2 linked regions of the Canis lupus familiaris genome follow. The protein of the gene in region 1 purifies or fractionates together with the protein of each later gene. This does not show direct contact. Links are inferred from orthologs where the notes say so. Each region holds a gene or a part of one and is shown on either strand. Other genes may lie near its edges.

The links.
Region 2: the proteins of HMGA1 (region 1) and EZH2 purify together in Homo sapiens (affinity purification with mass spectrometry; 3 studies listed by BioGRID and IntAct, with this or other methods). This does not show direct contact. The link is inferred for Canis lupus familiaris from reciprocal best matches to the Homo sapiens genes HMGA1 and EZH2.

What each region holds. Positions count from the first base shown.
Region 1 is NC_049233.1:3,713,785-3,717,518, reverse strand, and holds the end of HMGA1 (high mobility group protein HMG-I/HMG-Y), read right to left. Parts: intron 3,393-3,734; coding exon 3,342-3,392; intron 1,976-3,341; coding exon 1,922-1,975; 3' UTR 639-1,921; downstream 1-638. Other genes in the region: SMIM29 (small integral membrane protein 29), read left to right, coding at 44-109. UniProt on the Homo sapiens protein: HMG-I/Y bind preferentially to the minor groove of A+T rich regions in double-stranded DNA. It is suggested that these proteins could function in nucleosome phasing and in the 3'-end processing of mRNA transcripts.
Region 2 is NC_049237.1:1,579,641-1,584,043, forward strand, and holds the start of EZH2 (histone-lysine N-methyltransferase EZH2), read left to right. Parts: upstream 1-1,523; 5' UTR 1,524-1,578; intron 1,579-4,403. UniProt on the Homo sapiens protein: Polycomb group (PcG) protein. Catalytic subunit of the PRC2/EED-EZH2 complex, which methylates 'Lys-9' (H3K9me) and 'Lys-27' (H3K27me) of histone H3, leading to transcriptional repression of the affected target gene.

The sequences.
Region 1 (3,734 bases):
GAGGCCCAGGAACTCCACCCCATGGCCCCATCTCTCCCCACAGGTGGTCCATGGCTGGCAGAGTGGCTACCAGCACAAGCGGATGCCCTTACTGGATGTCAAGACCTAACCAGACCCCTCCCAGCTCTCCAGAACCATAGGATCTGGGGCGTGCCCTGGGCCTGCAGTCTGCTGCCTCCCTCTCCGCTAGCACTCACCCAGCTCCCCCTGCTGGGAACTGTCTCCTCTTTCCACCCATCCCCAGCAGCACCTCACTCCCCCACCCTCCACAGGGCCCTCAGCCCTGTGTGACAGGGTGCAGCCAACCACCCACCGTCTCATGGGCACCACCTGGCTTTGAACGAGTTTCCACGGTGACAGGGCCTAATGTATAGTATTCAGTATATATATTTTGTAAATAAAATGTTTTGTGGCTAGGGGTATTTTTTTTTTTTTTCCCAAGAAAGGCTTAAATTACCTTCCCTGGAGCTAATACTTCTCTTCCCCTCTCCTGAGCTGAACAGAGCCCTTGGGTAAGCCACCCCCTCAACTAGATCTTTGGCTTCCACACACCTTTCACAACTACCCCAGGTGCCCACCAGAGGAAGACTCCAGTCCAGAAAAGGATATTTTTTTTATTCAAGTAACTGCAAATAGGAAACCAGATGGGGGGGCCCCAGGCTGGGACAAATAATGACTACCTCCTCCCCAGCAGAACAGGGGGAGAAGGTGGCCCCTACACCCTTGACGGTCTATACAGGCCCCCCCCCTCACTCTGCTGCAGCATCCTAGGGGCAGAGCCCCACCTTCCCTGGGACTGGGGTAATCGGTAACCCAGCCTGCTCTGCCCTGGGGCCCTTCCCCTAAGAGTCTCGGAGGAGGGGATGTGGGCAGGACAGGAGGAGGCAATGAGGATGAACATTTGGCGCTGGTCACAGCAGCAATGACAGATGTCTAAGAATGGAAACATTGAACAAAAACAACACAACTGTCCAGAGGTAGTTTGTGAACAGAGGAAAAGATGGAACCAGAACCTTGGGGGGTGGGGAGGAGCAGAAGGGTGGGAGTGGGCAAGGCTAGCTCCTTGTTATCAGTGCCCCATGTAAGGAAAGGGGATACTGAGGCCGAGGGGGAAGCGCATGGGGTTGGGCAGGCGCTCTAGCCCACCTCAGGTGGCTGCCACAGGGACCGTGGACCTCCTGAGCCTCACCTGGATAAAGGGGGGGAATGCATTTCCCTCACTGCAACAGATTCCAGGAAGGAAGGTGGGCTGGAGCCCATTTAGAGTAGGGGGGGCTCAAACCCCTCCTGCCTTCCTTCCTGTGCCCAAAGGGGGCTGTCTGACCCAGAGCAGGGACCAGGCAAAGTGGGAAGGAAGAGAAGTGGGTGTGAACCGCACCTAATGAAACACAGGTCAGTCGGGGGGCGTCTTGGGGCCGAGTGCCCCTCCCTACCGGCCATACCTGCTGCTGCCAGTGCTGTGGAGTGGGGCAGATCAGAATGAGATGGGCGCTTGGGCCCCTTTTAAGGCCAGGGGAGCCCTCCCAGGCCCCTTAGTGGGTAGCCAGAGGAAGAAAGGGGAAGCAGAAGGGATTCCCCCCCCAAAGCCAAGAGCCCGGTCAGCGATGTCCCCACCACTGAGCAGGAGGATGCGGCAGGGGCAGGGCATACGGTGCAGTGGGAAGTCAGCCTTGTCTGGAAGGGCAAGTGTGCGTGTGGGTGGAGGGGTCACTGGAAACCAAGACCAAAGGAGACGGCTCCCCACTCGGGCCTTGGGGCCCCGCAGCGGCTGGTGTGCTGTGTAGTGTGGTGGTGAAGGCGCAGGGGGGTGGCGGGGAGGCGTGGGTCTGGGGGAAGGGGCAGGGGCGGTGGGAGCGGAGCGGAGCTGTCCAGTCCCAGAAGGAAACTGCCCCTCGGTGAAGGAGCGGGCGGCACGGCGCGGTCACTGCTCCTCTTCGGAGGACTCCTGCGAGATGCCCTCTTCTTCCTCCTTCTCCTGTGAGGTGGACAGGGCAGTCAGTGGGAGGGGCAGGCACAGGCCAGGATCGCTCCCACCCCTCCCCGGGCTCCCTGGCTCTCCAGAAGGGGGATGAGTCAAGGCTGAGTGTGTGAGTGACTCAGCAACCTCCACGGCCCAGTTTCATTCATAAAAAAGGAAGAATTTAGAGGGAGGGAAAAAAAAAACCCCACACACATGCTGCTCTTGCACCAGGCCAGGCCCCCTTGGCCCCCGGGCCTGTGGTGGACATGGCAGGACCCGCAGAGCCCCGTGTGGCACTGAGCTGCAGCCTGAGGAAGTGAGTGGCTCTCTGTAGGAAGAGAAGGGAGAGGTGGCCAGAAAGAGGAAGCGGGAAGGGGCGGCTGCGGGGTGTGCTGGGTGCAGTGCCGGGGAACCAGGTGGCCTTGGCCCGCAGAGGCAGCTGATGGGCCATGGACTGACCCCGGGCCAGGGCGGGGAGGAAGGGGAAGTGTGTGCCGCCGGGGCTCACTCACTGGGCGGGAATGTCGGGACACCACATGGGCCTGCGGCCCCCGTGCCAGGCACAAACTCCAAAACAACTTGTTTCCTGTTACTCACTCCTGGGGCCGGGCCAGCACCCCCTAACTCCCCTCCTCACCCTGGTGGTGGCTCAGCTCGAGGAATGAAGGCCTTGAGATCAGATTGGGGGGTGGGGTAGGTAGGAAAAGGCCAGAAAGAGCAGGCTGGGGTGGCCTTAACTTCAGTATAGGCCCTAGAAGCAGCCTCCTGGACTCCGCCTACCTTCTTTCATTAACAGGTGTTGGGGGCGGGGGGGGGGGGGGGGGGGGGCTCAGAATCGGATGGTCCCAGTTGAGGTGCTGAGTGGGATCACCTCTCTGCTCCCACAGAGCACTACCCACCTGCCCCAGGGCTGAGCTCCTTTGCTGCTGCTTCCTTCGCTACCCAAGAGCGTGGGGAGGACAGACCTCACCCTATGCTCATAGTCTTCTTTCCTCATTTCTATAATGGGGCCCGGGGGTGGGAGACTAGATGACCTCCAAGTTCCCCCTAGAAATGGAGTCTGTTCTAGGAGTAGAGGAAAGAGAAGTAGCCCCAACCCACCAGGGCAGGGCAGGGGTCAGAGTCTGGTTTGTCCCCAGGACCCTTCACTTCTCAGGGACACAGCCCTTTAAAAGCCGTGGGCTGGGTGCCAGGACCCTCGGCCACACGCACATCCTCTCCCTCTCCAGGCCTGGGTAGAAAGAATGATGATGTCCCACTAGGATTCCTGGCTCAGGTTGGGCAAAGCCATCTTCCCAGGCAGAGCACGCAGGACTAATCTGTCACCCATTCTTAAACACCCTCCCAGGAAGTAAGAAACCGCCGCCATCCCTTCACCTACCAGTTTTTTGGGTCTGCCCCTCGGTTTCCTCCCTGGAGTTGTGGTAGTTTTCTAGATGGTCAGAGAAAAAGATCCACTAAGTTGAAAAACATCCCTACCACTGCTCACCGGATGCCCAGTGCCCCACCAGGATGGGGAGGGACCGAACCACCTACCTCTGCTCAGGGCAGCCTGGGACTCCCTCAGCCTGCGGGCCCACCCGAAGCCAGCTGGTGATGACTGGCTAGCCACACTGCACCCCCCCCCCAATATACACACACGCCCCCCACTCCCTCCTCCACCCATGACTCAGAGGATATGAGTCGTGTCTCAGAAAAAATAAAATAAAAAACAAAACAACTTCTCTGAGAGACTGATGCCACTGTAAATCTGGCCTACCCTGCTTGGCCCCAT
Region 2 (4,403 bases), on another chromosome or scaffold:
CATCTCACATGCACAACCTACTCTTGCACTTATTCTATGTTCATAACCGTGCTTCCATTTGGGCACACGGTTATTTTCCTCTGTGGCTTCCCGCCGCATGTAATCCTGACATTGAATTGGTCGGGAATACAGCTGAGCAACTGGACGATGATTTAGGAAAAGGTGGGAAAATTATGGCTTAAATCACCAGACCAAGACTTGAGTCATTAAAAAGTCTGAGCTAATTAAAAAAAATCATACATATAATATATAATATTATGTTAATATATTAAATTTACTATTAACATAATATTATATTAATATATGATAATATATTACAATATTATAATACTAAATATACATATATAAAAGAAACACGGTGTCCTTAGGGTTTTAGACTCAACAGTTCGTAGGTGACCCGGGGTCTGACTCTCAGCATGGAACCCCAGTTCGCATGAGTGATGTTCGCATCCTACCACTGCACAGTTGCATCCTATAACTAACTATATAACTGCGTCCTGCTAAATAAATTCGGCCCAATCTTGACTTCCTCGACAGACGAGAGCCAAAGGGGGAGGAGACTGTGCCCTAAAACCCGACACGTCCCCGATTCCTCCCGGTGCGACAAGGTTTTCCTCCAAGATCACCTAATGATCATCGAAAAGGGTTTTCGTTTTCCAGAAGCATTAGCAGGAGGCGAGGGAACCACAGCGGTCCTTGAGCAAGGATTCTCTTTCATCTTCCCTGCACGCCGACACGCGCGCTGCCAGGGTCCGGGCTCGGCGTCTGCCCCGGGCCCAGGTGCGGGGCGCCCCTGCAGCCCGGGTCTCTAACCCGGTGCGCCGCCCCCGCCCCCGCCCCCGGCCCCACCCCGGCCCCGGCCCCGGCCCCGCGCTCCCCGCCCGGCCCGGCCCGGCGCGCGGGGAAAAGAGCGCGGCAGTTGCAACCGTTACCACCCCCGAGTTTTGAACTGGTTCAAACTTGGCTTTCGGCCCCGCCCCGCCTCTCGGGCCCGGGAACTCCGAGGCGGCGGTTCCCGCCAAGCGCCGCGAGCGCGCCGTCCCGCCCTCCGGCCGGTTCCCGCCACCCCGCCCTCCCCGCCCGGGCCCGGCGCTGCGCAGGCCCCCGCGTCCCCGCCCGCCCGCCCGCCCGCCTTCCCGCCTTCCCGCCTTCCCGCGAGGCGCCGTGCGTTCCGCCAAAGAACAAAGAAACGGCGCGGCGCTTCCACTCGGCGGCCGCGTCCCTCAGCGCCCGCCCGCGCCCGCGCCCGCGCCCGCGCGCACGCGCCGCCCGCCCGGCCCGGCCGAGTCCCGCGGGCGCCTCTGCGTGGGGCTGGCGCGGCGCCTCCGAGCCCGGCGGGCCCTGTGATTGGACGGGAGCCCGCCGCGGCCCGCCAATCGGGGCGGCGCTTAGTTGGACAGGGGGGGCCAAATAAAAGCGCTGGCGATTGGGCTGCCGGGTTTGGCGCTCGGTCCGGGAGCGCCCGACACCCGCTGGGACGCAGAAGGCGGTGGGGCCCCGGCGGCGGCGGCGGCGGCGGCGGGAGCGGCGGGAGCGGGAGCGGGAGCGGGAGCGGCGCGGGCTGGGCGCGGGGCGCAGGTAACGCGCCGCTGTCGGGCCGGCCGGCGGCGGGGCCCTGGAGCCCGGCGGGGGGCGGCGGCGGCGCCGGGACATCCCCAACGCCGCGCTGCCCGTGCGGGTGTCGCCCCGAGCGGGGTGTCGCGGGCGCCGGCGCGGCGGGCGGGGGGCGCGGGGATGCCGCGGGGCGGGGGCGGGAGCGGGGGCGGGGCGGGGGCCGGGCGGGGGCCGCGGGCGCCCGAGGCGGGGGGCGGGGGCGGGGGGGGCGTGCGGAGGGGTCGTCCGCGGGCGCCGGGCTGGCTGGGCTGGGGGCGCCCGCCGTCCGCCGTCCGGGCGCGCGGGCTCCTTTGTGTGGAGCGCCGCGGCGGGGCGCCCGGGCGGGACGGGGCGCGGGGCGCACACAAGTTGGTGGGACCGCGCCGCCGGGCGCGCACGCAGACAAAGGGCGGCCGGCGTCTCGGGGCAGCCCCGCGGGCCTGACAGCGGGCGGGGGCGGCGCGGGGAGCCCGGCGGCGGGCGCTCGGCCCCTCGCCTCTCGCCCCGCGCCCCCTCCCGCGCCCCGCGCCCCCTCCCCGCGCCCCGCGCCCCGCGCCCCCTCCCCGCGCGCGGGCCCGGCGAGCGGAGCCGGGGCTGGGGCGGCCGCGCGGACGAGGCGGTGCCGGGCCGCCCTTCTCCTAAGTTTGCGGGCAGGGCAGGGCCGGGCAGGGCCGGGCAGGGCCGGGCCGTCCGCCCCGTCTCGGCTTCCTGGGCCTGCGGGGTCCCCTCTCGCCCTCCCTCCCCTCCCCCGTCTCCTCGTCCCCACGGAGTCCGTGCCGCGGGGTCCCTTTCGGGAAACGGGACGAGCCGAGGAGCGTGCTCTTTTCGGAAAACTTGGGTGAACTCGGCGCGTCTCGGGGAGTTCCCACTTTGCAAAGAATCGCCGTCCCCAAGAGAGAAAAGCAGCCGCGGGCCGCCCTGGCCAACCGGTGGGGTGCGTCGGAGGGGGCGGCAGGTGCCGAGGAAACCCGCTGCCCCGCAGGCGGCCGGCCCCAGGCCCCGCGGCGGGACGGCGGCGAGCACCCTGCGGGCGGGCGGAGGGGCGGGCGGGCGCGGGACCGACGCGCGTCTGGAGGCTGACGAGCTCCTTCCCACGGACGGGTCTTAACTTCCCCCGAACAATAGGTTTGGGGAGGCAGGAAAGCCTGGACGCAGACAGCGTGTGTCGCCTAAGAAACCCAACGTGTGCTGCCCGCAGTCAAGCTAAACTTCCTTTGTTTGCAGCACAGGACCCGTAAAACTTAAAAGATCCGTGTGGAAATAACAACCCGGCTCTGGAATTGAAAAGTATTCCACACGGTTTGCTTTCTTGGTTCCGGAGCTCAGCGGTTGCATTCTTTGGCGTTTGAAAATTACCTAAAGCAACCTTTGGGGAAGAAGAAGAAAAAAAAAATCTTAAAAAAAAAAAAAAGTCCAGTGCTCGTACGGTTGAATTATGATCTGTACTTCTCTGGGGCTTTGGAGGTGGTTTTTCATCACTCTTCTTTCCGTGAGCATTAGCAACTCTTTTTCATATTTAGGAATAAAGTGGACAGGTGTTCAGAGCCTGACCACTTTATTGATGATCTTATATGCAGGAAGACGAAAATGGTTGAGATGTATCTTGATGTTCTTTTCGTAGGGTCTAAGTTGGGGCTAGATGGGATTCTAGTCCTATGTGTAAAGATTCCTGTATGTGTTTTTGTAGACCGATCAGGATACGGGATGTTTAAACTCTTGGAAACTTAGGAAAATTGCATCTTCCTTTCTGATTTTTGTGGAAACCGAACATATTCAAAGAAAAGGAATTTAGAGACCCACAGGCACTCTTCTTTATTTGCGTTCTGATAAAGAGCTAATGTGCACCTACTGTCTTCTGGTTGCATAAAAATGGAGACAAAAGAAACGCAGTGTGAAAGTCTTTATTACGAATATTTTGCAGAGACTGTTGGACACCGTTGAACGGACGTCCCAGGTGCTGCCTCAGGGTTGAGATGCTTAAATGATGTTTAGATTTAGTTGCTGATAATTATCTATTAAAAAGTCCTGATAGTTCTTGCCCACTGTTAGGAGATGAGTTATGCAGATCTTGGCAGAAATTTGGATCTTTTAGGATAAATTCTAGTTTTTCCCTTGTGTATTCTGTAATTGATAATTACTGTCCTTATACGTGCCACAAAAATTTTTTAAAAAGCCTTTTTGGGGCTTTGGCTTAGATTTTTTTTTTTTTTCTGGTTGAATTGTGAGTATATACAAGTCACTTTTAAGTAGCAGTGATTAAAAAAAAACACTTGTTGATTTAGGGCAAAATAAAAGTTCTGAGACATTTATGATAGACATAAAGAGAGAGAGACAGAGACAGAGAGGCAGAGACACAGGAGGAGGGAGAAGCAGGCTCCATGCTGGGAGCCTGACGACAGACTGGATCTGGGGACTCCAGGACCGAGCCCTGGGCCAAAGGCAGGCGCTAAACCGCTGAGCCACCCAGGGATCCCCAGTTCTGAGACTTTTATGCCAGCTTTGGCTATTTAAAAATTTTAAGCAGATTTCTCCAAGTCCTAGTGACGTTTTTCTAGATTATCTGCCATCCCTTGAGCTGGCATGCTCAAGGAGTGTGAATTTCTGTATTGGCCTAAATAGTGATTAAGAAAGTTGATCTGCTTCTTAGAAACTGACAAATGAAGTTCTTCTAGCGTCTAATGTATTCTAAGGTCAATTAGAAATGATACACGGATTTGCCTTGGATTCTTTATGTCCCTACAAACGATGAAAACATTTTCTGTGCATTATGAAAGATTGCATATACAGGTGAAATCTTTCGGGGAGAGCAT